Cricetulus griseus: one gene and its partner. The protein of the gene in region 2 purifies or fractionates together with the protein of the main gene of each other region. This does not show direct contact. Links are inferred from orthologs where the notes say so. Each region holds a gene or a part of one and is shown on either strand. Other genes may lie near its edges. The genes, in order: Rexo4 and Rbm28.

Region 1 (9,314 bases), on a different chromosome or scaffold from region 2:
CACTGAACTGAACTCCTTGAACCCAGTTGCAGAGAGGGACGAATGAGCAATGAGTCCAATGAGCAATGGGGGTCAAGACCAGAAACAGCTGACCTGAACAAGGGGGAGCTCTTGGTCTCCAGACTGATAGCTGGAAAACCAGCATGGGACTGATCCAGGCCCCATGAACGTGGGTGTCAGTGAGGAGGCCTCAACAATCTATGGGGCCTCGGGTAGTAGACCAGTATTTATCCCTGGCATACAAATGGACTTTGGGAGCCCATTCCACATGGAGTGATGCTGTCTCAGTCTGGACACGTGGGGGAGGACCTAAGCCCTGCCTGGGATGAAATGACAGACTTTGGATATCCCCCATGGAGGGCCTCACCCTCCCTGGGGAGCAGAGGGGGGATGGGGTGGGGGCTTGAGGGGGCTAGTGGGGGGTGGAGGAGGAGGGGAGGGAGAGGGAGCTGGGATTGACATGTGAAGCAAGTTTGTTACTAATTTTAAAAAAATAATGCTTGAACAAAAAGAAAGAAAGAAAGAAAGAAAGAAAGAAAGAAAGAAAGAAAGAAAACCAACAAACTTTTAGCCAAATTAACCAAAAGATGGAAGAGCCAAATTAACAAAATTAGAGAGGAAAAGAGAGAGAATACAATACACAGCAAAGGAATTCAGAGAATCATAAAGACATATTCCACCAAACTGGAAAACCTAAAAGAAACTGATTAATTTTTTGAAATATATGACTTACCAAAGTTAAATAAAGATGAAATAAACTAAACTAGGTCTGTAAGCCCTAGTTATGAGATTGGATTTAAGGCCTGCTGATTGGATTTAAGTCCTGCTCCATGAGATGGGACCCATACAGGACACTGCTAAAGTGGCCAAGCACCTGAGACCAAATATGTTATAGGTCTAGGAGGAAAACGACTACTATTATTCTGCTAAAGGAGCCTAGCAATAAAATGACTCCTAATGACATATTACTATACCCATAAATCAGTGCATCTCATCTCCATCAGAGACACTTCTCGCTGTAGATGTGAATTAACATAGAGAACAACTGGACAATGTGTAAACAGTGAGAGACTTCAGAGCACTTAGCCCTAAATGGGATGTCAAAATCTTCCCCTCAAGGCTCAGGCATCTATTTGGAAGAGGAGGTGGGAAGAATATAAGAGAGCCAGTGAATGACTCCAACAAAACAGTGTCTTTCAGATTAAAACACGACTCATACAAACTCACAGAGACTGAGACACCATTCATAGGGCCTGCAAAGGTTCAAGCCAGACAAAATCCTAGCACTGAGTGAAAGACCCCCGAAGGGATACTTTTGTAGAGGGAGACTCACACCCAGGAATCAGCGAGGCCACGAACTGGATGTAAAAACAAGAGGCTTTATTGGAGACGCGGGTACCCGGGGCGACTTAGCTTTTCTGAGGCCAAGCGCGCCGAGCCAAGGGAAAGGGGTCCTTATATAGGGAAAAAGGCGCAAGCTAGGAGCAGGGATTCTATTTGATGGTTCAAATGAGGCACAGAGCCATTCCAGATCAGCATATTCTCAAGGTCTGGTGTCTGGTACAACAGACTTGATTCCTCCCTCCGCGCCCAGGTGGCTGACCTTGGGGGCGGAGACCTTGGGACGGAGTGTTTCTCAACGGGGGGGGGCGTGGGGGCGAGGGGTGCCCTTTCCCTGCTCGGCCCCAGCCCCGGCGCGGTGCCAGGGCAGCCCCGCCTGGGTGAACCGGCTTGGGAGGGAAAACGGCAGCCGGGGGAAGTGGAGGCCGGCGGGGGCAGGGACAGCAGGATGAAGGTGAAGCAGGGCGGCTCTGCGGCAGCTCGCAGCTCCCGGACAATTATCGCCCCGCGCTGCACTCTCCAGCCCCTGGCCGTATCCTGGCTCTGCCCTGCTCCAGAGAGAACACCCAGCATCAGCATAGGCGGGGGGGAGACAGAGAGGCAGCGGGCCTTTCATGAGAAAGAGGAAGTAGACACAAAGTCCCACCCCTAACCAGGAAGTCATTTGTGATTGTTAACTTGCTGGGAAAGGTAAGGTAAGTTTTCTTCAGTGGAACGTCATTAGGTATATTAATCATACTCCAGGACAGGCTCAATGTCCAGGAGCAGTTGGCCACATAAAACAGACTCCATGGGGTTTTCCGTGGGCTTTTTGTTTTGTTTTGTCATTTGCATTTATTTTGATTTTAGTTCTGGTGAGAGACAGGGGAGGGAGAAAGAACCTGCAGCTGGGTGCAGAGTGAGAAGGGGGAGGATATGGAAAGAGGTGATGGAAGGAACAATAATCAAAATTGTATTGCATGAAAAAATTAAAGAAGGAAATAGCATGAATATTGACATTACAGGCCACAGAACTCAACAAATTAATTAAAATCCCAGTTCCTAGGATGAAAGTATAAAGGTAGAGGGAGTACTTGAGTAGTATGTGTAAAACCTTGGGTTTGATAGCACCAACAGAAAATTGGAAATAAATAAATCCTAGCTCCACCATAGTAACTATGTGACCTTGAACAAATTACTTAGATTTTTCTGACCTATTTTTCCATCAGTAAAAGTTAGTATTAAAACAGACATTTTTGGCTGGGCGTTGGTGGCGCCACGCCTTTAATCCCAGCACTCAGGAGGCAGAGGCAGGCAGATCTCTGTGAGTTCGAGGCCAGCCTGGTCTCCAGAGCGAGGACCAGGATCCGCTCCAAAGCCACACAGAGAAACTCTGTCTCGAAAAACCAAAAAAACCAAAAAAACAAAACAAAACAAAAACAGACATTTTGAAGGTGCGTGGTAGCACACACCTTTAATTCCAGCACTTGGGAGATAAAGACAGGCAGATCTATGCTAACCTGATCTACAAGCAAGTTCCAGCCCAGTTGAGCTACATAGTAAAAACCCAAAAACCCCGGCTCAAAAAAAAAAAAAAAAAAAGTGCCTCATCCAGTAGCTGGTGGAAGCAGAAGCAGACACTCACAGCTACACATGAGCTGAACTCTGGAATCCAGTTGCAGAGAGGGAGGCGTGATGAGCAAAGGGGTCAAGACCAGGCTGGAGAAACCCACAGAAACAGCTGACCTGAACAAGGGGTTGTTCATGGACCCCAGACTGATAGCTGGGAAACCAGAATGGGACTGTTCCAGACTCCCTGAATGAGGATTTCAGTTTGGAGGTCTGGTTAATCTGTGGGGCCTCTGGTAATGGATCATTATTTATCCCTAGTACAGGAATGGACTTTGGGAGCCCTCTCCACATAGAGGGATACTCTCTCAGCCTAGATACACTGGGAGGGTCTAGGTCCTGCTCCAAATATGACAGATTTTGAAGATCCCCCATGGAAGGCCTCACACCCCCTGGGGAGTAGAATAGGGTTGGGATTGGGGATCAGTGGGGGGCAGGGGAGGGAGAGGGAACTGAGATTGACATGTAAAAGGAGCTTGTTTCTAATTTAAATTTTAAAAAGCACCACTTCATGTATTGTTGAAATTACATAAATCAAAGTGTGTAAAAGCAATTGTCACGCAGTGAATGCTCAATAAATGAAAGGTTTGGTTACTACCAAGAGGTCATACCCAGAGGACATTCTGTAATAAGAAATGAGTAATCATGAAATGTGATTGTGTTCTAAGCAGACAGTACCTTGAGAGGGGAAAAATACCCACTTCGATTCTAGATCTCGAACTACCACGGATAACTATGCAAGTGCTAAATTTGCAATTTACAAAACTTCGTTTCTCTCCTAGTCATTGAACTCATCTGGATTCCTTGGGTCTTTAACTTAAGTAGAGAGGGATGCCAAACATGTTTGGCACAGGGGTTCTCACCACCTCCACCAAGTGTCTCCCTGACCTTCCTAAGTGGCCTGTGGACTTGCTGTACTTCTCAAACGAACGAAGGTGGAGGCCTCATCTGTGTAAATTAAGGGTCAAGCATGGATTGCTGGTCATTTATTAAGGCGGAGGTTAAGAAAAATATATGTACATTTTCACAATTAAAATCTTGTTTTATCATTGCTCTCAAAAATAACTGGCTTGCCACGCAGCCGTAAGATTCGGTAAACAGGACTAGCAATGCGGTCTGGCTGTGCAACCCTCAAAAGCTCCGCCCGAGCTCCTTCCGGCCTCCCGCGCGGTGCCACACCAGGAGTGGTCCTCCAAGTCTTTTCCGGTGTCGCTGCTTCTCATCATTCCCGCCCTCTGATGACTCCTAATTTTGGTAAAGGCCTGGGGTCCCTTCTGTCAAACTCTGGGTCCTCAGCCGCGGCGCCACTCACCAGAGCCGGCAGCCTGTATGGTGTTAACTGGCGGACCTGTTGCCCACTTCCCATGCGTGCGGAACCAGAGGTGCAGACTCGGTTTCCAGCAGATTGCGAAGAGAAGCGCTATCCGGGCTTCCTCAAGCGCTGTGGAGGTACTTTTGCGGGTGTGCTTCCGCCGTCGCCACTGAGTTCGAGTCTCTTCCCTCCTGGGTCGGGCTGCTGAGAACGACAAGATGAAGGCGAAGGCCACGGCGCCGGTTTCCCAACCTGAGCCTATCAAGGAGCTCGTTCGGAAGAAAGCCAGGAAGAGGTTCAGGAAGAGCAAAGCGCAGGGAGGAAGCGTGGCCCCGGGAAGCCTCCCAGCAGCTGTCGCAGTCCGACCGCCAAAGGCCCCAGAGAACTTTTCTCAAAATTGGAAGGCGCTGCAAGAGGTGAGACTGGCGACAGGCCACCTTCATCCCAGACTTTTGGTCGGGTAGCCACAGACCACGAAGGAGAACTGTGGGTGATTCCAAAACGTGGAAGGGCTGGCCGCTCCACATTGCGCAGACTCCTTCACAGGAACATCGGCCTTGTAGGCACGGCAGTAGTGCAGTTGTGGCTGTCTGGCCTTTTGACAATTTTAGTAGTGGCCGATGCTTCTATATACTATACAAGTTGCTCTTTGCTTTACTCAAATTATTATTTTTTCAATCATAAATCCCATATCTTGGTTGCTACCCTGCCAACGTCTTAAACTATATCCCAGAACTCTGGCCCCGACTACTCTGGAACTTGTGTAGCTCAGGGTTTTCCTGCACTAGTGGTAGTCCTCCTATGTTAGGTAGCCTCCCAAATGCTGGGATGACTGGTGTGAACCACTATATCAACCCTCACTCATACATTTTTACATTCTTGTGAGGTGCTTTTACTGTCCTTGTTTCTTAGATGGGGAAATTGAGACAGAGAGCATAGCATATAAACAGCAGAACTGGGTTACTGGCCATGCGTTTTGATCTGTTAAACTACAGGTATTCCTCTGGAGTGTATGCTATGGAGCCTCAGTTAATAAGAAAGAGTACAGACATTCTTGAGGTCCATAGCACTCCACCTTGTTCCTTTGTGTGGATTTTCCTGTCTGGACACACAGGACCAGCCAAACCCTGTGGACAGTTCTGTAAGCCAGTTCTTGTTTTTTTCTCCTAAGATAAAGTAAAATTAAATGTGTGGAATGCATATTTACTATAGGGAACTTTGAGTTGGCTCTGGTTTCTACAAGAATCTTAAACCCATTGTATCATCTCAGTTGTTTACCATCTTGCTGTGGTCTTAATTGGGGATTTGAATACACAGAAGAAATTGCTCTCCTAGCCTCTGCCTGGATAAGATCAAAGCTATGGCTCTTCTCACCATCCGTTGTTATGGGGTTTCTTCCTGCAAGGTCTGAGTAAACAGACCTAAGTAAACACACAGATGCTATATTAATTATAAAACTGTTGGCCGATGGCTAAGGCTTCTTACTGGCTAGCTCTGTCTATTTCCATTAATCTAAGTATTTCCACGTGGTCTTATCTTACCGGAGAATGGTCCGGACCTGTTCCCCTTCCTCTGCTACATGGCGAGCCTTTCCAGTGCTTCTCTGCCTACCTTTGCCAGAATTCTCCTTGTCTCCTAGCCCCGCCTATCTTCCTGCCTCTATCTACCAAACAGTGTTTTATTCATCAACCAATAAGAGAAACATATATACAGAAGGACATCTCCCATCAAACCATCTATGGTTTGACATGATTTCTTTCTTTCCATTGAACTCCCTTCCCTTGGGTCTTCCTCAGACCCTGAGGTGTAGCCAACCTCCAGAGACAGTGTAAAGGAGGTGTTCATTGTGTCCTTGAGTGTTGACCATGAATCACTCTAAATGCAACTTCTTATGAAAGAAGTGAAAATGATGCTCCTGCCCCAGGCTTAATGAAGTGCTCTGGTGTATTCAGTCACTCGGGTACACATGGTATAGAGCTTGAAATGCAGAGTGCAAAAGCAGCATTGCTGGGTTATGCATTGTAATAAGCAGAGGAAAGGAATCTCAATGCCAGTAAACCAGGCTTTTCCAGGGGCTGGAGAGATGGCTTAGTAATCAAGAATGTGGATACTCTTCCAGAGGATCCTGGTTTCATTTCTGGCATCCATATGGTGATTACAACTGTCTGTGATTTTAGTTGTAGGGGATCCAATGTCCTCTTCTGTCCTCTTTGGGCACCAGGCATGCATTTGGTGCACAGACACATGCAAGCAAAACACCCATGCATATAAAAATAAATTTTTAAAATGCTTTCCCAAATAATTTCCTATTGGGGATGGTGACTGGAGGTGTGTATGTGGATGGTAGATACATTTGCATACAAGTTTCTTTAATCTGGTATGTCAGTTCAGAATTGAAATGTGGCTTGTATTTAATTCTGATCCCATTAGCTGCTGAAACAGAAGTCACAAGCTCCAGAAAAACCTCTTGTCTCTCAGATGGATGACAAAATGCATCCCCAAATAATCCAGCAGAACAAAAAAGAGACTTCAGATAAAGCAAAGGGAGATGGGAAGAGGACAGAAAAAGACCAGACCATTAAGGGTTCTGTTACCGCTCTGTCTAAGAAGGACAGGAAGAGACCTGTACCTCCCACAAATTCCTCTGGACCAGAACAGAAGAAAAGTGCCCAGAAGAGGACATTTAGTGACAACGCTTCTCATCAGGAGGACATCAAGCATAAATGGAAAGCTAAGGAGGTAGCTGTCGTCTTGAATCAGTCCTCACCTACTGAGTGAGTATCAACTCTGCTGTGGTGACTAGTATGTCCTTTGCTGCCTGGGCCACAGATTCAGATGGTCCTTAATGTGCATCTAGCCTCCACTGTCTTCACCGATAAGAAGAAATGACCATTCGGCCCTGGTGCAGTCTTCCTCACCTGACACTATGGTGTTTGTTTTGTTGTTCTCTTGTCACGTGTTTCCCCTAGAGTGTGGGTTGCTGAAGGCAGACTCTATTGTACAGTCAGTGTGGTGTCCTTGGACCCCAACATAGAGCTTGGCATAAGGTAAATTCGAGCAAGAACTTTGGCATAATGTAGGCTGGAACCAGAATGAGTCATGTGAAACCCAGTCCTGCCTCTTGCCAGTTGATGACTTTGGGCTGGTTTCTTTCTCAGTGTGTCCTTCTATATAATTAGGGGGACTGAGGTGCAGCATGTGTTGCTTAGTGTCTTTTGGCTACTTAATGAGCACTGTAGTGACACTTCTCTTGGAATGGATATGCTTATAAGGCAAGCTGGCTCCTGCTATCTGAGCCTTCCCTTCCCTTCCCTTTAGCCTAAACAAAAGCATCTCCTTGGGAACCAGAAGAAGGAAATGTATTTATGAAAGCTTTGTCAAGTCAAGCTAACAGCCCCTGACAGACTACAGGACATAGTACTGAAGGGTAAAGGGATGTGGGCTTGGCTGTCTCTTCTGAGTCATATAGGCAGGCTGACCTAGACGGGCAACATAGGCGTCTTTCCTAAGGCTAATATAAGCAGGGGAGGCACATAGATGTTTACCTGAGCATTTGTAAGGGGGTGGTCAGGGTAGCCTAGTGAAGAAGGCAAAGAACACAAAACAGGAAGCCTGTCAGTTGAGCACTTTTGAGTAATGACATTGAAATCAGGCTAAAAAGCTGGAGTTTACAAAATAGCCGTGGAGCATCCACTATCAATTGTCTTTCTCACTCTTGCAAAATGTGAAGACAGTGCAAGGCATATGTCCCTATCTGTCATGCAGTCCTCCTACCTGTGTGTCTTGATAGCACATCTATTGTTTAATTAGAAAATGTTAGTGGTCCTTCTACTGGTGAGTCACATGTTTCTGTTTTACATTTGTTGTTTTTATCTGTAGTTCCTAAGTCTTGGATAATAGGTATATTTGCAAATTTAAAAGAACAGCGGTGAGGGGCTGAAAAGATGGCTCAGTGGTTAAGAGCACTAGCTGCTGTTTCAGAGGCTTGGATTCCCACATGGAAGCACACAACCTTCTGTAACTCCAATTCCAGGGGATCCCATGCATGCCCTTTTCTGGCCATCACAGGCACCAGGTATGCAAGTAATACTTGCAGGAAAAACACCTATACGAATAAAATAGTCAAGGAAAGAAAGAACAGCAGTAAAAGGGAAGTGCAGCAGCAGGTTCAGCTGGACAGTGTGTGCAGGGGAAATAGTCCTGCAGCCCTCATGGTGCTGCCCTCTCACTGCCAGCCTTCCTGCTCCTCACAGCCTACCAACTGGGCAGAGAGATTCTTTGAATAGGCATCCAGTGCCCCATGTCTTTTCACAGCTAGGTACTCTCATCTTTGCCTCACAGGGAAGACATCTGGTTTGATGATGTGGATCCAGATGATATTGAGGCTGCCATAGGCCCAGAGGCAGCCATGCTGGTACGGAAGCGGCTGGGACAGAAGAGCAAGAGTACCATCTCCCTGGTGAAGGAACAGGCCTTTGGCGGGTAAGCTGTGCTTGGGCCATGACTGCTGGGAATGCTCTGCCTTCTGGGGCTGGAATCTCTCGGGAGGAGAAGGGAGCATTGAGCCATGACTGCCCAGCAGGTCTTAGGGTTGCAAAATGGTGATGAATGGGCTTGGCTCACTGGCCTAGAATCCCAGCCTGTGATATTTATTATACTGGGGCCTTTGGTTCCCCTCAGCCTGACAAAAGCCTTGGCCCTGGATTGTGAGATGGTAGGCGTGGGCCCCAAGGGGGAAGAGAGCATCGCAGCCCGTGTGTCCATCGTGAACCAGTATGGGAAATGTGTTTATGACAAGTACGTCAAGCCAACTGAGCCGGTGACAGACTACAGGACAGCAGTCAGTGGGATACGGCCTGAGAACCTGAAGCAGGGTATGATGCCTGTAGGATTTGAGTTTAGTAATGGGGATGATAGCAGGACTCATTTCTCTCCTTCTTCCCCTTTTGAGTTCTGGAATAAGGCATGACAGAGGTCCTGGCATTTCTTACCTCTTCCCTAGAGTAGCATACTTGCGGATTCAAAAGGTACCTTTCCTGACTGTTGTGTTGTG
Region 2 (8,667 bases):
CCAGGGCCTTCAGTTACAAGTCAAATGTGTACCACATTCAAAGACCACGTTAGTAAACATTTTTCTCTGTTCTTAGCTCTTATAGACTATCTAACTGAATTAAAAATGTTAAAAATGTTCACTCATAAATAATATATTTGGTATATTAAAAATGAGACACATCCAAAAGTCACAATTGCTCATTTACAGATTCCATAACAAAATAGGCATCTTAAAAATTCAGTACTTCAAAACACTTTTTTACAATAGTTTCCATCAAAGAAGAAAATAGAAATGAATTACAATTATATGCACAGTTTCAGCAATATGGATGAGATGTAAAAACTCCACGGTGTTTTCAGGTATGTTTTCCTCCCATGCTGGAGAAGGGACCAAGAATGTACACACCCTACAGAGTCCCCAAGAATGGGGTATCATCGGGATGCACTTCCCCTCTGTGAAAGACACAGCTTTCTGCAGGCGGCATCAAGTATCAAACCACTTGCTTCTCTTCATAAGGGGTGGTCCCTTAGAAGGACCCAACAATTTCTGCTTATACTGTTCAACCAGTTGGTTGAAGTGGGCTTCTGCCTTATTTTCCTTAGCTTTCTTCTTAGGTGCCTGTGAAAAACAGGAGACATAAAACAATCAGTCTTTCCCTTTTTCTTTCTTTCCCTCCCTCCCTTTGCTTTCTTGTTTTCTTACTTGCCTGCCTTCTTTTCTACAGACCTGAAACTCACTCTATACTTGAGGAGGACCTTGAACTCCTGACCCTCATCTATCCTCCTTTAAAGGACCACCATGCTTAGTTAATTTCAAACACTAAATATCACCTTACTGTCAAGACACCCCAAACAGAATATAAGCTGGTACACTAGGAAGACGATTTCTAAAGAGAAACCTAATTTGAACATCCTTGTTTGCTCTTGCCCCAAGAATTCCATTTATAAAATTTCAGAGACTAGATCTCTACAACATAATATGATATGGTCAGAAATTTCCCACAGACAGATTTGAGTAGGACAGGGTGCTAGTGACTCTTCTACTCTTAGAGGGAAGGAAGAGAAAGCTTGACCTCAAATGCACAAGAACCCAGGACTAGAGCTGGAGAGATGGCTCAGGGTTAAAGGCACTGGCTGCTCTTCCAGAGGATCCAGAACCTGTTTCCAGTACCCACAATGCATCAAAAAACCACCTGTATCTCCAGACCTAGGGGATTCAATGCCCTCTTCTGGTCTCTGTCACATCACCCATGTCTGCAGTACAGAGACATACATGCAGGCAAGAGACCCATACATATAAAAGAATGTCTTTATTTAAAAAAAAAAAAAAATAGAGCACAGGACCATTAATTTCTATTCAAAAGAACTAGAGCTCCTTGGGAAAATGGCTATTGCCAGAAACTGGGAAAGAAACCACATAAGATGGGCCTAGAACATCTTGTACAAGAAAGCAACATTACCAAAGACAGACAAGGTCATTTCAGAAGGACAGGGAGCCGACCCAAAGATGCTTCTGTTGCCTTAGAACAAGAATGATGACCACATTTGATTGAAACACAGTGAGTTACAGGAAAATTTGGGATTCCATAATACTTAATACAGACATACATACATACATACATACATACATACATACACACACACACACACCAGCCTCACAAGCCACATAGCAGTTCACTTCTCTGAAACTGATAGAGCAAGAGGAAGGAAAAAAAATCATCTAACTTGTCTTTCCTATATGTAAGAGTCTCCTTTCTACAAGTCTTAGAACTCTATTTTTAAGTGCAAAGGGGCTGTCTTAATTGGAAAATCACCATTCTGTAACCCATTATGAAATCACAGGTGTACATGATAATCCCTTGTTTTTAAAAGCCAAAGGTGAGCAGTTAGGGACATAGGTCAACAGTAGAGCACTTTCTAAGCATGACAGCAGCCTTGTGATGGGGGATGTCCTGCCTGTATGCTGTAAATATATGTTTCTCTCATTGGTTTAGTAAAATGCTGACTGGCCAGCAGCCAGGCAGGAAGTATAGTGGGGCTGCCAAACAAGGAGAATGCTGGGAAGAGAAACAGAGAAGAACACCTTGGAGCTACAGGGAAGATAGGACACTGGGCATTCTCCGGTAAGATAAGGCCATGTAGAAATGCACAGATTAATATTTATGGGTTAGTAATTAAGAGAGAGCTGGCCATTTAGAAGTCTAAGCCATTGGCCAAACAGTTTATAATTAATATAAACCTGTGTGTTTATCTGGGGCTAAACGGAAGCAGGACTAGGCAGAACAGAAACTCTGTTAACAGCCTTGGGTCAGACCCCTAGCACTGCAAAGCCAAAAAACTAAACAGTAACTGAGAAGATGGGAGGGGATTTTCTCAATAGAACAATAAAGTGGACAATTCTGACACCTACTGACTGATCTTGGCATTACTAACAGTGAAGTGTTCTTTCCAAGAAAACTAAATCTGGTTATACCTCTAGACTGTTCTACCAGCTGACAGTCAAGACAAGGTGCCCCGGGGACAAGTGACATGATACCATAAGGAAGTAAGCAGCTGAACTCAACATAAAATACATCCTTAAAGACAAATGACTGTTTATCCAACAAATTAACAACACCAACACGGGGAGAAAGAATGTGGTAAGAAAGGATAAACACCATAGGATGAAGAAAGGAAGGCAGGGAAGGAGGAAGGGATACCACAAATGTCATGTGTGGACTTTGTTAGCATCCTAACAGGCACTAACCAAAAATAAAGAACACTGTTGAGGCAATTAGGAACATTTTAATAGGGGCTATATATTAGAGAGTATAAGGAGCTTCTGATTAATCTCAGTAGATACGATAATGACATTGTGCGTGTGTTTGTGTGACGAGTTGGCCATTAGAAATGTAGTCTCAAGTTTTTCTGAGCAATCTATCTATTGAGATATATTTACGTGTAGGATTTGCTTCCATACACTGCAGAGGGGGAAAGCAGGTACAGGAAACAGGAAACACAAGATAACTGCTCAAGCAGATCGACAAGTCATAGAGGCTTACTTTCCTCTCCATTACTGAACCTCACCCTCTGAAGAGCTGCAGCCCGGAACGGAGAAGCCTTACTTCAGAAAGGTGACGATCTGCTCAGTCCCACAAAGCCACAGCACCCAAACCACAAGCCCCACGGAACTCACCTGCAAAGAAGGTAACTGCTGCTGCTTCTGTTTCCGCTGGCCTGTCTGGGGCTTTGACTTCTTAGGAGGAAGGGACTTCACTTTGCCTTTGTCCCGCAACCTGAAATAAGACAGCCAGGTATATGCTGCATTAATTCTTTCTCTGGTTAGTATCCTTAGCCTCTCTCTCTTTCTCTCTCTCTCTCTCTCTCTCTCTCTCTCTCTCTCTCTCTCTCTCTCTCTCTCTCCTTATTTAATTTAATTTATTTAATGTGCATTGCTGTTTTGCCATGGATGTTGGGTTCCCAAGAACTGGAGTTACAGACAGTTGTGAGCTGCCATGTGAGTACTGGAAATTGAACCTTGGGTCCTCTGGAAGAGCAGTCAGTGCTCTTAACCACTGAGCCATCTCTCTAGCCCCATCCTTGGAATCTTTTAAAGAACTCAAGAGACAAATTTCTTTAATACATAGCTGTTTCTTTTTTGTTTGTTTTTTCAAGATAGGTTTCTCTATGTAGCCCTGGCTGTCCTGGAACTAGATCTGTAGACCAGGCTGACCTTGAATTCAGAGATCCGCCTGCCTCTGATGCCCAAGTACTGGGACTAAAGGTGTGCACCATAACCACCTGGCTTAGTCACTCTTAAATGGAGTCTACAACCGTATATATATCCTAAGTCACAATAGTTATATATTCGTTTGTCTCTATTTATTTTTGCTAAGACTTCAATGGAAATCACGAAAACTATCATTTACTTACCAAGATTTTTTTTGGGGGGCGGGATATAATGGTGTGTGGTGGTTCAAGATTTTTTTTTTTTAAGATACATAGCACTAATCTACTGTCACAGCACTGAATGTACATAACACTAATCTACGGTCCCAAAGAGAAAGAATAAGCGACCCTCAGCTGACATGAAAAGCTCTGAAAAGACAAGGATGGCATGCAGTCTGCCCTGATGGTTCCTCCAAGGTTCCCTCTACCATCTGATCCAAGGCAACATTTCTGCTGGGGCTGAGACCTTTCTGTTAACTTCGCATGGGGAACTAGCACCGCCCCAACACCCTCTTCATCTAACAAATGCTACAGAGAAAAAGAGCTGCATCAAGACAAATGCACTTAGAAGCTCCCTCCTCTACAGAGCTCTCCTGCATCTCACCTAATTTTGGGGCCTCGGTGTGAAGGGAGTGCCAGGACCTTTCTTCTCTTCTTCCCATCAGGCAGCTCCACCTGCTCCACTTCAGCCTTGGTCTGGAACCCTGTCCACGAGGTGGGGCGGGCCTTCCCTTTCTGCTCTCCAGAAGCCTGGCTGGGATTCTGTGTAGGCCTCACTGCTTTCTGTTGCTTGTCTTTCCCATGTTCTTTTTGCTCCTTTTGGGGCTTACCGGTTACAGGCTTAGATGACATTTTTTGCTGCAGAAAACAAGAAATTGCCACCTGGTTTCTGGATGAGGTTACCTGATGAATACGCAGCAGAGGATGAGCCTGCTGTTGGGTGTGCTGAAAGAGGGACTCTTCCTCCACAGAGTTGGAGACTTCAGCAAAGTACATACAAAGCAGTTCACACCACTGCAGGGCAGACATACACACACTCTCTCTCCTCTCTCTTCTCTCCCCCCATCTCAAAACAAAACCAACAAAACCAAACCCAGAAACATTAAGCAGTAGCCCAAGATTCAAAAGCAGTAGGAAGGAACAACTGTCAAAAGTGAATCCTGGGCCAGGCATGACAACACACACCTGGAATCCTAGTCACTGGGAAGGAAGGAATGGATCTGGGCTATTTGAGATTCTGTTTCAAAAAACACCTGCCCCCCCCCACCCCCCCCCACCCCCCCCGCCACACACACACAGTGTAACACAGCAGCAGAAACAAAGCAACTGAGAACTACTTAACATAATACAGCTAGGAAATTTCAAAACACTGACAGACATTAAGCCAGAGCTCTAAGAGCTGAGAGAAAACCAACAAAACAAACACCCCAAGCTCCACAACTAGATTTATCAGTCACTTTGCAGTAAACAATGTATAGAAACAGAAGATAGCATGAGGTAGCTGAGGTTCCAAAAGACAAAATTACCAAATCTAGATTCTGTACCCAATGAAATTATCTTTCACAAAAGTGAATGACTGTCTCAGATAAAAACCAAACCAAACAAACAAAAAACAATTGCCAGGAAATCTGTTTTGCAAGAAATGCTACACAAATTCCTCCCGAGACCGGAAATGGCATAAACTGAAAACCTAGGTCAACATGAAGGTAAGAATGTCAGAGATGGGGTCAGTGAAGGAAGGAAGGAAGGCAAAGGGATGCTAGAGCTTCAAATGCAAGCATAAGGATGTTGAAGGTTTACCAGCACTGATCTAGGAAAAAGAGTCAAGTAAAATGAATGTAAAAATAAATGTTATTTTGCCATTTGTAATTTAATCTAAATAGGCATGTTGATACAATATTAATTAAATGCCTACTGTGCACTAGTCTGTCTGTAAGATACAGTTACAAACAACAAAATGTTTACTTTTAGGATTCCCAGACTAGTGTAAATAAAAGACATGTGGTGGTGTGAATGAAAATATCCCCCAGACTTAGGTGTCTAAACGCTTGGTCCCCAGATGGTGTTGGTTGTAGAATATTATTTTAATTAGGCAAAGATGCACATTTGCTTATGCTACATTTGTTTAATTTCGTAAACGTGTGTTGCATTTGTTTCACCTGGCCTGTCTAAGGTAACTGATTGGTCTAATAAAAAGCTGAACAGCCAACAGGATGGAGTGAGGTTGGCAGGCAGAGAGAATAAATAGGAGAAATCTAGTATCTAGAAGAGGAAGGAGAAGAGAGGAGAGAATGAAGGACATGCCCCTAGGGCAAGACGGGGGGGGGGGGGGGGGCGCCAGACATACAGAAGCAGTGAAAGACAGATATATAGAAGTGAGAAAGAGGTGGGAGCTGGAGAGAGGTGGCTCAGAGGTTAAGAGCACTGAATGCTCTTCCAGAGGTCCTGAGTTCAATTCCCAGCAACCACATGGTAGCTCACAACCATCTGTAATGAGATCTGGTGCCCTCTTCTGACCTGCAGGCATACATGCAGACAGAATATTGAATACATAATACAATAAATAAATAAAATTAAAAAAAAAAAGAAGTGAGAAAGGTAATAAGCCTCAAGCCAAAAGGTAGATAAGAAGAAACAGGTTCATTTAAGTTAAAAGAGCTAGCAGAAATGAGCCTAAGCTAAGCCGAGCATTCCAAACTACTAATAAATCTCTGTGTCATGATTTGGGAGCTGGTTAGTGGCCTAAAGGAAAAAGCCCGGTACAGTTTGGGAAGGTTAAAGAGGTACAGTGAAGGAAAACACTAGCAAGGGCAGGCTTTGAGAGTTCATAGGCGTGCCCTGATTCCAGTTTGCTTGAGGCTTGCAGTTGAGGGTGTGGGCTCTCAGCTTCCTCCTCTGTGGTCATGCCTGCTGCTTGTTGCTAGGCCTCCCTGCCAGGATGGGGTCCTACCCTTCAGAAGCATGAGCCCAAATAAACTCTCCCTTTCCTAAGCTGCTTTCGGTCATGGTGTTTTATCACAGCGATAAAACAGTAACTAAAAGAAGACACACATAAATAAAATAAAAAACAAATAATCAAGGAAGTTGATGGAAGCCTATGTAATGAGGGCTTATCTTATAGTGGAAGGTTCACTTGCTGTGAATGAGGAAAGTGAGAAATGGCCCTGTAAGTCAGGAGAACAGACCACTTTATAATGAAAGTGCAGTATGAGAATAAACACAGGAAACAAAGAATTCAAAGAAAACACAGGCAGCTTCAGAAACCCCCCTGAAGCCTTGGCTAAAGGCAATATTATCTGGGGTAAAGAGTTGGCATGTACAAGGATAGGACCCCAGGTTCTCCATGAAGGCCACAGGTACTCCTCTCTCCACACTAACTGAAATGATCTAAAAATACCCAGTGTCATGCTGAGACTGGAGGATTTTGAGTTCAAGACAAGTTTAGACGACAAAGGGAGCCCCTGTCTCAGATGATGATTCTGAAACTTAACCTGAGCCACTAGTTTTGACACGGCCCCCACACACCATACAAGAGCTCATGATGGATCGGAACATCGGTTTGCATTCCTCCTATCTTGCCCTTCTGTGCAGCTCAGAAGAGAGACAGCAAAGAAGAAAACACCAGGGAGTCTTAGGAGAAACTGAGTAAAATCCTACTTCGCAGAAGCACAAATTTAAAAAAGGAAGTTTAATTAAGCTCTAAAAAAAAAAAAAAAAAGGGCTGGATATGACAGCATACACCTTAAATCCCAGCAGTTGAGGCAGAGACATCTTTGAGAGTTCTGGGTTAGCTAGAGCTACCCAGTGAGATTGTCATAAACAACCAAAACCAAACAAACAAAGCCTAGTAAGATGGCTCAGCAAGTAAAGGCACTTGCCACCAAGCCCAATGGCCTGAGTTCAATCCCAAGACACACATGGTAGAAAGAGAAAACCAACGTCCCCAAGTTGTCTTCTGACCTCCAGAAGAAAAGGTACAGACACAAAGGCATTTTCTCCCCCCACCCCCAACACACACCATAGATAGGTAGGTAGGTAGGTAGATAGATAGATAGATAGATAGATACATAGATAGATGACAAAACCAAACCCAATCAAACATTTAGGTTCAATACCAGGCTGCGTTGGATCCTCAGCTCCTTTACTTTAAGTTTCCTTCGATCCTCTAAAGAGAACTCCACTATCGGTCTCTGTCAGGGAGACAGAATGTCATTCGTAAGACTTTGTAACCTGTGAGTGCAATAAGCCTACTTGGTCCTTCCACCCAGCCTCTGTAAACATGGAGGCTGCTTCTCACGTCTTCTTTAATGCCAGTTCTGTAGGCAGTCCGTCCAGTCTACTCATTTTATAAGCATCTTCTTGCCTAGAGTTACCATCTATTTTCCCCACCTCCACCCAGACCACTTGGTACTCTTCCCACCATTCAAATATCGGGGGCACTGAACAGTTAAACCCTCAGAAAAATGGGGTCTCCCTGGAGGCTGAGGCTTACCTTCTGAGAGCCAAAGATTTCTGGGTTATTGTTGATATGGCGGAGGGCTCTGAGGGCGTGCTCGTGCTTCTGGAACTCTGCAAAGGCATAGCCCAGGGACTGACCCTTCGTTTTTCCATGAACTGCTTTAAGGTCCCGCATCACTCTACACTGTGAGTAGAAAAAGAAAAAAACAAACAGTAGTTATAAATAAGAAACAAAAAGAGAAAAAAAATTTAATTTTTTAAAATCTTGGAGGGAATGGTTCTACAACCAATGCACATATTGTACAATATACAGAAGTGCACTAAACTGTAACGGGTTCCAAATGGGCACATCTGAAATACTGTAGGTACTCATCACTAACAGTACTGTCAGCCGTGTTCTGACTGGTTAACATTCTCTCGTGTTATTTCCTCAATATCAAGGAAAACATTTTAAAGAAGCTTTTCAGTACTAGGCATACAGTTTATGACTATGAAACAGCAAAGCACACCTAAAATATTG

Evidence for each region.
Region 1: the proteins of Rbm28 (region 2) and Rexo4 purify together in Homo sapiens (affinity purification with mass spectrometry; 3 studies listed by BioGRID and IntAct, with this or other methods). This does not show direct contact. The link is inferred for Cricetulus griseus from reciprocal best matches to the Homo sapiens genes RBM28 and REXO4.

The regions. Positions count from the first base shown.
Region 1 is NC_048599.1:138,643,420-138,652,733, reverse strand, and holds the start of Rexo4 (RNA exonuclease 4), read left to right. Parts: upstream 1-4,149; 5' UTR 4,150-4,479; coding exon 4,480-4,677; coding exon of another isoform or gene 4,678-4,693; intron 4,694-6,691; coding exon 6,692-7,035; intron 7,036-8,547; coding exon of another isoform or gene 8,548-8,563; intron 8,564-8,602; coding exon 8,603-8,743; intron 8,744-8,941; coding exon 8,942-9,135; intron 9,136-9,314.
Region 2 is NW_023276806.1:198,679,769-198,688,435, reverse strand, and holds the end of Rbm28 (RNA-binding protein 28), read right to left. Parts: intron 8,332-8,667; coding exon 8,182-8,331; intron 7,880-8,181; coding exon 7,805-7,879; intron 4,548-7,804; coding exon 4,294-4,547; intron 3,257-4,293; coding exon 3,157-3,256; intron 601-3,156; coding exon 466-600; 3' UTR 118-465; downstream 1-117. UniProt on the Homo sapiens protein: Nucleolar component of the spliceosomal ribonucleoprotein complexes.